Saccharomyces cerevisiae S288C: one gene and its partners. Changing the gene in region 2 together with the main gene of any one other region gives a genetic interaction. Each region holds a gene or a part of one and is shown on either strand. Other genes may lie near its edges. The genes, in order: SHR3, SSH4 and EAR1.

Evidence for each region.
Region 1: of SSH4 (region 2) and SHR3, extra expression of one rescues a mutant of the other (dosage rescue), as found in Saccharomyces cerevisiae (2 studies listed by BioGRID).
Region 3: of SSH4 (region 2) and EAR1, changing one enhances a phenotype caused by changing the other (phenotypic enhancement), as found in Saccharomyces cerevisiae (one study listed by BioGRID).

Annotation. Positions count from the first base shown.
Region 1 is NC_001136.10:75,660-80,800, reverse strand, and holds SHR3 (Shr3p), read right to left. Parts: upstream 2,376-5,141; coding exon 1,743-2,375; downstream 1-1,742. Other genes in the region: YDL211C (uncharacterized protein), read left to right, coding at 389-1,507; NOP6 (Nop6p), read left to right, coding at 2,835-3,512; serine/threonine protein kinase PRR2, read left to right, coding at 4,256-5,141.
Region 2 is NC_001143.9:208,366-212,426, reverse strand, and holds SSH4 (Ssh4p), read right to left. Parts: upstream 1,835-4,061; coding exon 95-1,834; downstream 1-94. Other genes in the region: RRN3 (rDNA-binding RNA polymerase I transcriptional factor), read right to left, coding at 2,297-4,061. UniProt on the Saccharomyces cerevisiae protein: Components of the endosome-vacuole trafficking pathway that regulates nutrient transport. May be involved in processes which determine whether plasma membrane proteins are degraded or routed to the plasma membrane.
Region 3 is NC_001145.3:602,388-608,273, reverse strand, and holds EAR1 (Ear1p), read left to right. Parts: upstream 1-2,753; coding exon 2,754-4,406; downstream 4,407-5,886. Other genes in the region: HOT1 (Hot1p), read right to left, coding at 134-2,293; aldehyde dehydrogenase (NAD(+)) ALD2, read left to right, coding at 5,192-5,886.

The DNA of each region.
Region 1 (5,141 bases), on a different chromosome or scaffold from region 2:
AACGTGGAGAAGGGTCCGTAGTTATCTCTTCTTTGTTCAAAGTTAAGAAAAAGCTACCGGTTTACCGATATCACTGGACGATGGAAGAAGAATGCAGCAGCTCAAGTACATATTTTACAAAAAAAAGAGTATATTAGTTCATTATATTAATTTCACTAACCGCATCAAACTAGGAGATATCAACCGTATTGTATGTTACCTTGGGCGGGCGCTCTAAAAATACGTGAAAGATTTCGCGTCAGAGAAATTTCTCATAGATTAAACGTAAACAAAATTCAGATGGTTCTGCTCGAGATAATAAAGTAATTCATAGAACGTTAAGATTTATTTTTACATCCTCAAAAGGCGCGAGGCATCTTGATAATTCTTTCTATTGCGATACTTCGCCATGCTACTAAATGTAACGTCTTCGCAATACATAAGCACACCTCAATCCAGAAGTCTGAGTGAAATTGACACGTCAGAAACCGCCAGCTTATCATCAGCTACAGACCACATTTTTGCATTATCCACTGAGGTTGTATCCTCAATTACGACGAACCTCATTGAGGGTTTAGAAAGTTCGATTCAGGTCCCCATATCAACCGCATATGGTACGACTTCCTTCCGCAACAACACTTCAAGTCCACAATATCTGGTTAGCAATTGCACTTCCTCTGTTCAAAGCAATATCACTATCGATAGAGGACTGTTAAGTACATTGAAGACTTTCACTACTTCACAGGTGCCAACCATAGAGCCTTCGACGACTAAACTAACAACACCATTATCTACAACATTTACCTCAACCTCTACATCGGAAATATACTCCGTATTCACCAGCGAGAACTCAGTTTATATCATCTATGACCAAGAATACAAATTTACAGAGCGATCGACAACATTTAACACCCACTTTCCCCAAACAACTGTGCTTCAAGAATCAAATCCTCCGTTAACTTTCACCATTCCATCCAATACCATTACCGGGGATGCTAAACTTTATCAATATCTATCTGGTGCACTAAACACTCAAGATACCTCAGATGCCAATAATAGAAGGACCGGAGTTATTGTCGGTTCTACGGTTGGAGTTGTCATTGGAGTTGTAATAGTAATTTTTATCGGATTCATAATTATTAGAAACAGACGAAACGTGAAAAATCACAGCAAAAAGGGCTTTAGCCATGATATTGGCAAGAGGGTAAGTTGTGATGAGGTAACAGAAACAGAAGCACCGTCAAATCCGTTCCTAAATGTCCTTAATTATAAAGTAACAACCAACGGCGAGGGCAAACGAGATTCCTTTGAAAATGGTAGAGATTTACACAGAGCTAGTTCCTCAGACGGTATATATATAGCACATCCTTATTATGGGATGGCGGATCACGAATCCGGGAGATTTTCATACGTATCGTCATACAATGAATCTGCGGAGTCATCCATTGAAGAAACAAGTTCCAGTGCGTCTACTATTACTCGGCCAAATATTCAGCAAACCAATAGCTTTTTGAGAGAAATTATTTAAAAATAGAAAAAAGTGGATTCCAAGATTTTCGTACTTCTAAACAAGGCTGGTACTTGTTGCTATTTCTTTGGAATTATTTGTAAATTTATGCACGAAGCAGATAGAGTTTTATTTATTCAACAGTATTTATATAATAAATATTGATCTTACTATACAACTAGATTCGTATAATCGTCTGTTTCGTCACAGACGGGAAAAGAGGGACAAAAAGAGAAAATGTTAAAAATATTATGGCCTATTTTTTGGCGTTCTTCCTCTTTTGAGCACCTTTAGATTTGTTATCATTCTTTTTCGCATTGTCAACTTTCTCAGTCTTTTTACCGGCATTGGCAGCTTCTCTTTCTTCTTGAGCATAAAACTCCTTTAATCTTTTTTGCAAATCCCAGTTACTGTACCACAAACCAATTTGTAGGATGATAACACCGGCAAACATAACTAATAAAATTATGTTGGAGGAAGCAATAACTGCCAAACCCTGATTTTCCGTAACTTCTCCCCAATTATGGCTCACAGAACAGTCGATACCTGTTTTCACATTAGTGAGAAACACACAGATAGCCAACACGTACAACCCCAATGAACAATACTCAAACATCTGCAGTTCAGGGTTTGGCTTGAAAACCTTAATTGTACCACCAACTAAGCCAATACCGGCAACAACGCACAAAGTAACAATCACCGGCAATGGAGTCTCATGTAAAATTTGGTAATGTCTCAGTGCCAAATCGAAATGCTCTTGAGTAGAGTTAGGATTAAATAAAAGATGATAATCGTATGGCATGTTACTGAAGAAAACACCCATTAGGAACGTTGTGGCCGATAAGATCATGGCCGTACCGATAGAACAGAAATCTGAATATGAGAACATCGTTAGAGTTTTATCGTATCACGGGATTTTATGCTCTGTAGTCCAATGAATTTACGGCTGTCTTCCAAAATACTTAAATCTGTCCTTTCATCAACTTTTTATATTTTTCAGAGTTTTTACACAACCCGAAAAAATTGTTATCGTGTATTAATTTTAGTACATTATAAAAAAAGATGGAGAGGGAAAGAGCCACCAATTACATTGGCGAAAGGTGATGGTGTAAAGTAACGGCAACCAAAAACAATTATGGATGGAAAACTTGGTATGAGAGTACTATTATTACGAACTCCACATTAACTCGATTCACCAAGTCCTTTCCCCATACGTTTACCCGGCATTCCTGAAAATTTTCTAAGATTTTTTTCTTCTTAATCGATGAGCTTAAAAGGTTTTCTGAGAAAATGAGAAAGTAATCTAATGTAGAGGACAGGATAGAGATTGAAGACGTCTACAGCTAAAATGGGGTCCGAGGAAGATAAAAAGTTGACCAAGAAGCAGCTCAAAGCTCAGCAGTTTAGAAAAAGTAAGGAGGAAAAAGATCAAGAGAAAGACGTAAAAAAAGAGCAAGCACCAGAAGGAAAAAGACCCAACAGTGCAGCCGGAAATGATGGTGAAGAACCCGTGAAGAAAAAAAGAAAAACACGTAGAGGCCGTGGTGGTAAGGGCAAAAATGGTAAAAAGGGCAACAGATTTATTGTCTTTGTCGGTAGCTTACCTAGAGACATCACTGCTGTTGAATTGCAAAACCATTTTAAAAATAGTTCACCCGACCAGATCCGCCTCAGAGCTGACAAAGGTATTGCATTTTTGGAATTCGATGCTGACAAAGATCGCACCGGCATTCAAAGACGTATGGACATTGCCTTATTACAACATGGGACCTTACTGAAAGAGAAGAAGATCAATGTCGAGCTAACTGTTGGCGGAGGTGGTAACAGTCAAGAGCGTCTAGAAAAATTGAAAAACAAAAACATCAAGTTGGATGAAGAACGTAAAGAGAGGTTGACAAAGATGATTAACGACGGCAACCAAAAGAAAATCGCCAAAACTACCGCCACTGCAGCTCAAACCTCTGGAACAGACAACAAGCCTGTTCCTGCAGGAATTCATCCTGATAGAGCCAAACTACTTAAATGAGTACAAATTTAATTTTATACGCCATGTATCTTAGACAAAAAGAAAATAAAGGGAAAAACATAAATAATCGTGCAGAATCATGCTACTGCCAAAAAAAGAAATGGCAAAGATGCCCAATACGTAAACTCTTCCGGAAGCAATAGCGCCGCATTATTACCGCTGCTCTATTTCACTTTATCATGAAAGACGAGACGGCTGGTACTTTTTTTTCCCCAAATCGGAGCTACTTTTCCGCACTTCAAGTCCGGTGGGAATTTTTACTACTACCCCTTAATCAATGCACTCCCCCCGCAATGACGTACAGGGGTAACATGTCTAACATTTAAGGTTACGGCTGTTAGCATATTGGGGGTTATTTGAATTATAGGAACGCCAAGAAAAAGGACAGAGGGTAAAAACATTCTCGGTGCTGCCGGATTGCTTATTAAGACGTATCCGTTAAACAATCTCCGCTTTTTTTTTTGTCTAACAGCCGGCTCTCTTTGGCTAGTCTCCATCCCTTCGTCACCTTCGGCTGTGGTCACACAATAAGGAAAGGTGCAAAAAAAAAAAATAAATACGAAAATCTGGAAATTGAATTCTTTTCATTAACATTCATTCACTCACTGAACTTATTGTCAATCGGAACATATTTCCTTGCCTTTATGAATTTTTGAAAAGAAAAAAGTTAATAGGAAAAACTAGATAGATTGCAAAAACGTTCACAATAGCGTACGTAATCCTTTTACTTATCATACGGAGTGATGTCGTTGTCTAGAATCCTGCGATATAATCAGAGAAATAACAAAACTACAGCTTCCTTGACTGCAGAACACGCCTATTCCGATAATTGGGCATATTCCGTCTCGTTAGGCGATCCCACTAGTGTTGGTGTGAATATGGCTGCTAAGACGGGTGAGGCGCTAAATAAATCATATGATTCCGTTTTTTCTTCTCTCCCTGTTGCAGATAGTGTACCTCGGACAGACTTTACTGCATCTTCCCGGGATGATGAAAACACGGACGTGCAAAAGCTGACCACTTCCTGGATGGAGAAAATTGACACGAAGATGCCCGAAAACATATCTAAAATCGACTCTAATATTATTTCCTCTCCCATGGTCAGTAAGGTTGAAGCAAGATTTATTGTTCCTAAAGGAAGATTGAGGAAAAATTCTACCGATTTTACGTCATCTTTCTCAAACTCGTTAAGTTTACCCAAAAGTTATGGCAAATTAATTTTCTTTACATCAAAGAAAAACAGCAGTAGTACCAAAAAAAATCTAGCGAATGATATCAGTGATAACAAGCATAACAACAATTCTTCTAATACTATCGGTCACAATATTCCAGTCACGACAGCCACGGCGACATGTGATGAGATTGCATGCACCTCCACAGAACATGAATATAATGTTTATGAGGAAGAGAGGATGTTCACTACTCGTGTATATTCTCTAGAAGATTCGGTCTCTTCACTGTCCACGAATCCTCTCGACGACACGTATTCAGAAGCAGTGCAAGTAAATACAAGACATATCGAGGACACTGAAAGCACGGCCCATATAAGAAAACACTCCTATACTACGTCATTGTCAAGTATCAAAAGGCTCTTCAAAATAACGTCTTTTAGCAATAACAACAGTAACT
Region 2 (4,061 bases):
CATCTAAACTATCGAATTGAAGAAAAAAAAGCTAGTAGGAATGTATATATTGTGTATGCGTAAATTGTAAAAAAAACCAAATTCATAATGTCTCTTATTTTCTCGATCTGTTCTTCTTTTTAGAAGATTTGCCTCTGTTTCTTTGACGTTTTTTAGTAGATTTATTTCTAGGGTTCTTATTGATAGCTCCATCTGATACTTCACGGGGGGTATTTGAATTTTCCGGTCTTTTATTGCCATCATCTTCCAATAATGGCGAATTTTCATTGCAACCAGCGTTCTCATCGTTGTTATTAACATTGTTATCGGTGTTGTTATCGTCGGTTTCAAGACTGTCGTGGTAAACATTATTTTCTCTGTCAAAGTTAGAAGAGATTCTTTCATACGTCCCAACAGACCACAGGGGCTTACTAGTTTGCGCCGTTATCCTAGAGGATGACCCTTCTTTTACCTTCATACTACCAAAGAAATTATCAGTGTCAGCATATCTTGGTGGCAATTCTTCTCCTTTCTGTAAAATAGTATCCTTCTTGATCTCGGTTCCATTATACGCAGGAGGAATTCCAATTTGGCCATAAACACTCCCAAACGCATATTTTTTCACATTGGCTTCTATAAAGACGAACCCAACTTGGCCCAAATTAACATGTAATTCAACCTCATCTGACGTCATTTCATCACTTTCATCATGTGGATCGTGAACTCTTTGAAGATCTTTGGCGACTTCAATATCTTTGCCTTCAGAGAGAGCTTCACGGAAGCTAACATTATCCGGGTCTTCCAATAGACCATCCCTCGTATATGTTCTTGTATATGCGGCATTAAACGCGCCAATTCCAATGAAAAGATCAATGCCAATATTTTGTGTTACATCCATTAATTTTTTCCCATTATGTGTAATGAAGATTGTACCTGTTTTATATCTGTAACCGAATCCTACCGTGTCACCTTCTTCCAATTTTGGTAATAATGTGCTGGCAGTGAAGGGGTTATTTATCCTCAGTTTACCTGTGGATTCGTATGCAATGGAGTATTTGGCCATGCCCGGTACCCTGAAATAAGGATATGGTACAGTAGTCAAACCTATACTGAATATACTATTGGACTTTTGAATATGTCTGAAAATTTTAACTTCGAAATACACTGCGTCCTTCCTATTGTGAGGTAGGGGATAGTTCATTACAGTGGATGAGCTCTTATTGAACTTTGAAAATTGAATATCTAGTTTATCCTGGACAATAAAACTGGGTAGAAAGTTTCCATATTCGTCTATATTATCATTAATGCTTGGTAGCAAAAAATAGCTTTGAATGCCACGATCCTTAATAAACTGCTGGTCGTCACTGTCCAAATACGTGCCAAAGTCCTTCACCATTGGCGGGCTCATCATTTGAAACTCTTTCGCTCTTATATACAACTCAACCTCGTACGCTGACATCTTTGGTAATTCTTCAAGTTCTCTTTCCTGAAGAACGATCTCATCATCAAACCCGCCAGGGGATGCAAAACTCGAATCCAACAAGATGCCACTATGTTTTTTACCAAACAAAGAGTGCAGAGTTCCTGAAGTTCGTGTACCTAAGGCGTTCTCTTCGTCGTATTCTGATTCATCATCACCACAAAAGGTGACATATGCCGCTATTACTACCAAGATGAGCATTAATATTGCAAACGTAATAGAAAGACTTATTAAGAAAGCCAAACTAATTGCTGCAGAATCTGAATCCATAGGGGGAGTTGGTACCATGTTAGGGTCACCTACTTTGAAGTCATGATTCGGACTCTCTAGATTACCAAAAGAACTATCCAAAGCCTCATTAAAAGTGACATACATTGCTCTTGTATACCTTCAAGTTTTTTTCTTCTTCCTAGTTACAAATAAAATAGATGAAAAAAGAGCTATTACTGCTTGTTCTGTTTATTTCGATTAATAATACCCACTATTGACTTTACTGAATATAAATATGTGCCAAGTAATCTAAGTACAAGCTGTTCGGATAGCTGAGATTTTGACTCAGGAACCCCTCCCCACAGAAACTCTTTAATAAGTAGACCTGCGAATGTAAAGCGCGCACGTAGTAAGTGACGAGAACAAACAAGCGTTCTAAAATGCAAAATATCGTGAAGAGTACACTGTGGAAAATAAAAATACTAAGTTTCTATAGTATCTAGAAATCTAAAAAATGTGTTAAATGCATTTATGCTATATATCCTCATTTCAACTATTAATGGGGTGACTACAGTGTATCATTAGTTTGTGACGGGCATGTCTCGAAGATACCTATGAAAAAAGACCTTAGTCATCCGACCCATCACTTTCATATTCCCCGCTTGCTTCACTCCACTCTATGTAGTATTCCTTCATTAAAATTTTATAGTTTTTCAGAAACAAAGGATCATATGGGAAGTAACTCTGTAAGTCAATAAATTGTTGTCGAGTGGCTAAAGACCAAGAAGACGATGTGGTATTTGCTTGTGCGGAATTTTCCTTCTTGTCGCTATCAGCTTTGCCGATGATTCCCCTCAATCTTTCATTGTTGTTATTTTCAATTATGCTGAAACAGTACGCGACGCTTTCTTGTTGGGCAATACGAGCAAACATCAACATGACATTTTCATTACAAAACTTTAATGGGTTAAATTTTGAAATGACCATTCTTTGAAAGAATTTGTCCAGTTCACACTCCCAGTTACCATCTGTATCTCTGAAGATGTTATGTCTGAAACAGAAAATGTAACAAAGTGCTTGAAATGCTGCATAGAAATGTTTAAACCTTTCCATACCTCCACGTTGATCAACTTCTTCTTCTCTTTCGATAACGTATCTATTCAACCAGGACGTTAAATAGCTTGCAACGAAAATAATTTGAGTTCTGGATAGTTTCTTGGCCCTCGCAATGTACGACCCCAAATATTGTAATGACTTAATTTTCTTCTCTGCTGCTTCGTTGACGGCAAACGAAATATCTATCAGTGTCACTAAAAATGAATCCATTAGTTCTAATTGTTGTTGTGAAACATGGAACATGATATATTGAATCGACCTGGTATAGTACGTGGGTAGAACATGCGTTTTAAATAATGTTGTTAGAGTGTTGAAGACTCCTACGCCTTCACCGCTTTCTAAACTCTCCGGCGTCACTTGCTCTTCCACATGCGTGCTTACCAAAGTTAAGATAGAGTCCAATTTGGTGGAAAGTTCTTTGATTCCCTGCGTCAACTCCACATTATATTCTTCAGTACCGTCCATACCTTCAATGATGTCCATATCTTCACTATCACTTTGACTACCGTCGGCTGCTCCAGACCTTAACTCTTCATTACTGTTCCCACAATTTTCATCATCATCGTCTCCTGAATCATCATCTAAATCGTCGTCATCCTCTAGATCAACTTCCTCTAGATCATCGTCATCTACATCATCATCTAATTCATCTAATTCATTTTGTAACTCGACATCAATCGAAATAATCTTTTCTATCAGTAAGGACCAAATTTGGAATCCTAGCTCAGAGCAGTAGCCTCTCAATTTCAGCAAATTTGAAGTGTAATTAACCAACTTTCTCCGAGTATCATTTTTATTTGGGAAAAATTTGGCCAAATATGTATCTATGAATCCCATCGAGGAGGGAATCATCCTTAAGAAATATTTAAGCATATCATGATGACACACTGTCTGTTTGATTGGTAAAATAAAACAAGATACCAGTATCATCGAAACGTCTTGCCACCATTTGGGTATACTCGAGCAAAGGATTTTGATGAAATATATATATTTACTTAGAGTGTGTGGAGGCAATTCCCACCACTTCTCAAAGTTTATGATAGATTGTATGAGGAAAGTTCCCCTGGAGGATTCTATCCTGTTGATATTACTAGATAAGATATCCAAAAGAATATTGAGATTCTTATCATTAATTCTTTCAGGATTCTTGCTCGGAAGCGCTACTTGATTGGCAATTATGCCGATCTGGGTTGAATCATTCTTATCCAGATCATCTAGGGCAGATTTCACGAACCTGCTATACATGGCCGCTGAAAACACTTCATCTTTTATCTCC
Region 3 (5,886 bases), on a different chromosome or scaffold from region 2:
ATGATTCGTACTTTTCAATCTCAAAAAGAAAACAGCACTAACGATTTTTGTAGATTTACAGAATGTATTTATGTTACACTTGTTTTTTCCTTCCTTCCTATGATTGTAAACGATTATTTACTATCGTACGTGCCTATATTCCAGCAAGGCTCTCTTGCAACCAGCCAATGGTTCTTTTCTTTACTTCGCCATCCTCATCATCTTTATATAGCCTTTTGTTCTCTAAGGTTTCTATCATCTCTTGTGCCGTTTTACCTCTCTCCATACCGTTCAGAATGAACTTGTACAATCTTTTTCGCCTTGAAAAGGTCTTCTTATTTTTATTGAGCCTCCACTTGTTACCATACTTGGCCTCAAGATGCTTGATCGATGGCTTTCCTCTTATTCCAGTATCATACTCTTCCCATATAGTCTTTACGTCAGTGGGAGCCTTCAATATCCTATAATGTAAATCAGAGTTTATGTTGGGCTTAGTAGCCGACTCGCCGTGAAGCTTTCTTCTACCGTTTAAAGAGTTACTTTTTTTATGATGCAAGCTCCTCCTCCGCTTGTTAATCGAAGCGTTCTTCATATCTGTTTCGATTTCATCATCTACTTCATCTTCCTCAGCAGTGCTGTCTTCTTCATTATCCCTTCCATCACCTTCGTCATCACCGTCATCATCATCATCCTCTTGATAGCCATCATCGTCGACATTACTTTTCACTGTCATTGGTTTTGGGTACGACGGTAGAGTAGAAGCTCTGTTTCTATTTACAATATTCGTGTTCACCCCTGACTTACCACTCGGTAACAATTCAGATGTCGTGCTATCCTGATTGATCAATTGGGAAAATGATAGAGGCTGCTGGGTATTATTTATAATAGGGGGTATAACATTTTGATTTGGGGGAAAAGAAGCGTTATCTAGGGCTAAGCTGGGCAAACTTAAAGCTGTTGTCGTGCCAAAGTTATTCAATGAATTTAAGTCATGAAATGAATTTGAAGCACTGGTGACGCCTGAATGAATGGAAGAATTGGTATAATTCATGCTAGTTGTAGAATTATGAGAATTCGTTAATGGAGATAGGGCTGATATGGGCTTTTGTGCAGCACTAGCATGGTCATTTGTGCTCGCATTGTTGTTACTTTGCGTATTTCTTCTGCGCCGTTTAATCCCATTTGGGTTCAACTTGAATGGCTTGTCAGTTGAAGCGTTCGGGAAACTAATAGGCGAGCGATTTACCTGCTGATGTGTATTTGTGTTATGAATTAAAACCTGCGACTGGTTCTGATTGGCTTGTGTGTTTATAACAGGACCAAGTTGTCGGTTAGGGAGCGATTGGTTTATATTTTGGGAAACATTATTTCGATTATGCTGCTGATCAGGTAAGATAGTATTTAGTGCGTTAGAAAATTGGTTGTTTAGCTGTGCAGTATTCGTATTCACATCTATGGTTCCATTCGTAGTCCGATGCTGGTTGATACCAGAATGGGTGTTGGAATCTCCTGTACATAAATCAGCAGTATGCTGTCTACCAGAGCCATTATTCTGCATTTTCTGCAAGTAAGCACTACTAACGGCTGATATCGAATTTAGCAATTCGATAGCAAGCTTATTTTGGGCATTGTTTGTGCTTGGGCGCGCGCTTGGCTGCGCAACCAACTTAAGTAATATATTCAATTTGTTCATAACTTTATAGTTATCTTGTTTTAGGTTTAAAACCATTGTATTCTGTTCCGCGATCTTATTAGATAACTTGTTGAAGCTTTCCTCCATCTCAATCATTCGGGCACTCATTTCGTCCATTCTTTGAAAAATCTTCAACTGATCCGTCGATATTTCGTTCGACGGTGAATCATTAGTCAAGGATTGGCTTAACATACGCCCTGTACCCGCCGTTGTCGAGTTCGAAGCGGAAACATTCGAGTTCACCCGCTCTTCATTACTCAGTTTTTCACCAATAGTTTCTGTTGGTTGACTGGTACCTGTGGGTGCTGAAATCGCTGCTGAAGTCCTCAAAAGACCTCCATCTAGTGCATTTCCATCGTTGCGAAGTGTACTGGCGTTACTGCCACTGGCGCTCTCTGAACCAGTCGTAGGCGAAATGTGAGTGGGCAGTGAGAGGTCAAGATTGATACCTATAGCATCTTCATTTACTTGACTATTCATCCTGTACCCATCCTTTAATGTAGTGGGCATCATTAAGAATAAGAAGAAAGGGCTCATCAGTGTAGAATAATCGAAGCTGATGGTTATCCTATAAATCTTTGTACGTACGATGCAAAGAATCGCAATACCCATTCCAGACATTATGCTCCAGCCATATGTACCCTAAATATAATCTTTTTTGTATATAAAAAACCTAAAAAAGAGATAACTAAACCTAGCTCAATATTTAATTTGACCTAACCCTCCGTCGGCCCTTTTTTTTTATTTTTTTCTTCGGAACGGTGCGCTATAAAGAAAAAAGGCAAATTCCAGGTTATCCATATAAACGCCATAACAAAATTTCATTGATACAGGCTTTAAGAACCTTGCTCTATTTACTACTGCTCTTTCTTCCTCTCTCAGGTTGAGCTATTTTTGAGAATAGCGCTTTACTGCTGCATGGAGGAGTGATTTTTTATAGAACATTGAAAAACCAAAGGACTGGTGCCTAACTACAAAATTTTCAAGAGTTGTTTCAAGTTATCTATATTGTCATTGGTTAATAATTATAAAAAATCTTAAAGTTTGGAGAGCCAAATTTTTTTTCTATATAAAAAAGCAAATGTCATTCAAGTTTCTGATAGAATCGCTGCTTCTCGGTTCGATAAGCGGACAAATACGGTGTGGTAGATCTTCGGTGATCCCCCGTGGCGATGTATCTTATGGGGGAGACGATACTGACGAACTTAACATGGATATAATGTTGTTTGCGTTTGGAACCTTAATCGTGGTCTACATCGTCATCTGTATCGTTTATTTTTTTACAAAACAGATAGCTACGCGGCTTATAACTGCATATTATAATGAGCATGGCCCTGGCCAAAGAATATCTTTATTCAGCGATTATGACGAAAATAATGCACACGTTCATAGCAGAAGATTAATGGAAAACATGAGTTTAAGGTGGCCCAACAATCTTGACGATGCTGATGAAGTAAGAGATAAGCTGGCACAGTTGTCACCTGAAGAGCAGTTTTATTATAAGCAAGGTGAGGAGTATATCAAGCAGAACCCACCATTTCTGCTTAACCAGGGACTTTTACAACAGTCCGAAGATAGCAATCCAGACACCACCCGTGAAGACCCTATTATGAACGAGCAAACAAGGCAATATATTCAAGAAGAGGGGGCTTATGCATGGGAGTTTAGCCCAAATCCTGATATGCCAAACCATACTGTCATAGTGGAAAATAAAACAGAGGTTTCTTTTCTAAATTATAATTATGATGCTTCTATATCCACAAATCTACCCATTCCGTGTATAAATAAAGTATATTATTGTGAATTCAAGATATTTGAAACGGATGGCCCACTAAACAGTGATGAAAATGTATCGAAAGGTGTCATCTCATTTGGTCTTTCCACACAGCCTTATCCATATTTCAGGTTACCGGGAAGACACCACCATTCGATAGCATACGATTCTAACGGCGCCAGAAGATTTAATGACTCCTTCAAACTAAATGAGCAATTAAGAACGTTATTTCCACAGTGTGAAAAGGGAGACATTGTTGGCATTGGCTATAGGTCACGTAGTGGAACAGTATTTTTCACCAGGAACGGAAAAAAACTAAATGAAAAATCTGTTGGTGGTCATATCCGCGGCTGGAAATTCCAATACCTATACCCGATCATTGGCTCCAACGTACCTTGTCAAATTCATGTGAATTTCGGCACTTATGGCTTTGTTTATATAGAAGCAAACGTTAAAAAATGGGGATACGCAAAGTCAAACGGCATTAAATTACCTCCTCCTTCTTACGAAGACTACGGTAAAGATACCCTATTAGAAAGCGGTGGTGAAGACAATGATTTCGACGAAGATTTTTCAGACGGTGATAGCGACAATATTGCGGCTGGTAGTACTACAAATCTCAATGATGATATAATTATAAGAAACGGTGAAATATTACCGCCACCACCTGGATTTGAATTCACTATGTCCCCTCCCACTGGAAAGAAGATCATCAATGAGGAAATTAATCTAGATTCCTTACCTATGCTACCACCAAGTTACTCGGACGATGAACATCATTCGAAAAATGATAAATCAGCAATAAGCGGACGAATTATTGGAACGAGCAGAAATTTAATTACTGATGAAGCATCTTTCGATAGTGTTGATAATGATAACGAAGATGAAAATGATCACGAGAGAGATCCCGAACAATTTTCAGAATTTGATGATTACGAAAGCAGGATGCATGGCATATAATACGAAAATGCATGAGATAGTAAGGCTGAAACACTAGCCCCGGTCAGTTATCTTTTTTTGCGCTGTATTACGCAGAGCCACCATTTTTTAAAAACATTGCAATTTATAACGTTTTCTTCCTTATTGAGGGTTTCAACGCTATCACCTACTCGATATCGCAGTGCAGCATATAGATATTTACATACATATATACATATGTTTACGTACACTAGTAAGGGCAACTGGTTGACCCGCAAACTTCCTTCTTACTTTCCGTACTTTTGCCATCTTTACTTGCACCTCCGTGCTACCTCTTAATGTGTCACAAGAAGAACGTATGAAGTATTTGTCAGCGCTTCAGACATCAGCATGGGTTGCAAATGCGTGAGATTAAAATGAAGCGTTCCAGCTCGAAAGAAAATTTGCTTATCTTTCCCTTCTATCATTTTTTTTTTCTCGTTTTTTATTTTGCATTGCCTTATCTTTTGCCGCCAGAAGAAACAAGGTTGCCATTATCGTGCCATGCGTTTACTTGCTAACGCCCTATGATGTTCCCGGCGGCTTTTGGATACTAATAATAGCAATCATATACCCTTTATTGGTTACTCCTATCCAATGATGAGTTTTTTTAACTCGTTTAAACATTAGGGATGCAATCTTGTCGACACTCACTGATCATATCCCGAATTTTGCTCAAGAATGTTCATATAAAGGGAGCGAATCCTTAAAAATACTTTTGGCCCATTCCTATCATTTTTACATTGCATGTCCATCAAAAACAATCGTGAAAATAAGCCAAAAGAAAAATGCCTACCTTGTATACTGATATCGAAATCCCACAATTGAAAATCTCTTTAAAGCAACCGCTAGGGTTGTTTATCAACAATGAGTTTTGTCCATCATCAGATGGAAAGACCATCGAAACTGTGAACCCAGCTACTGGCGAACCGATAACATCCTTCCAAGCAGCTAACGAAAAGGATGTAGACAAAGCTGTGAAAGCTGCCAGGGCTGCTTTTGATAACGTTTGGTCGAAGACATCTTCTGAGCAACGTGGTATTTATCTTTCAAACTTATTAAAACTTATTGAGGAGGAGCAAGACACACTTGCCGCATTAGAGACTTTAGACGCTGGAAAGCCTTACCATTCAAATGCCAAAGGTGATTTGGCACAAATTTTACAGCTTACCAGATATTTTGCTGGGTCCGCTGATAAGTTTGACAAAGGTGCAACCATACCATTGACTTTTAACAAGTTTGCATATACTCTAAAAGTTCCTTTTGGCGTTGTTGCTCAAATCGTTCCATGGAATTATCCTCTAGCTATGGCTTGTTGGAAATTGCAAGGTGCCTTAGCAGCCGGTAACACGGTTATCATCAAACCTGCTGAGAATACCTCTCTATCTCTACTTTATTTTGCTACTTTAATTAAAAAAGCAGGTTTTCCACCTGGTGTTGTCAATATCGTTCCTGGTTATGGATCACTTGTAGGCCAAGCCCT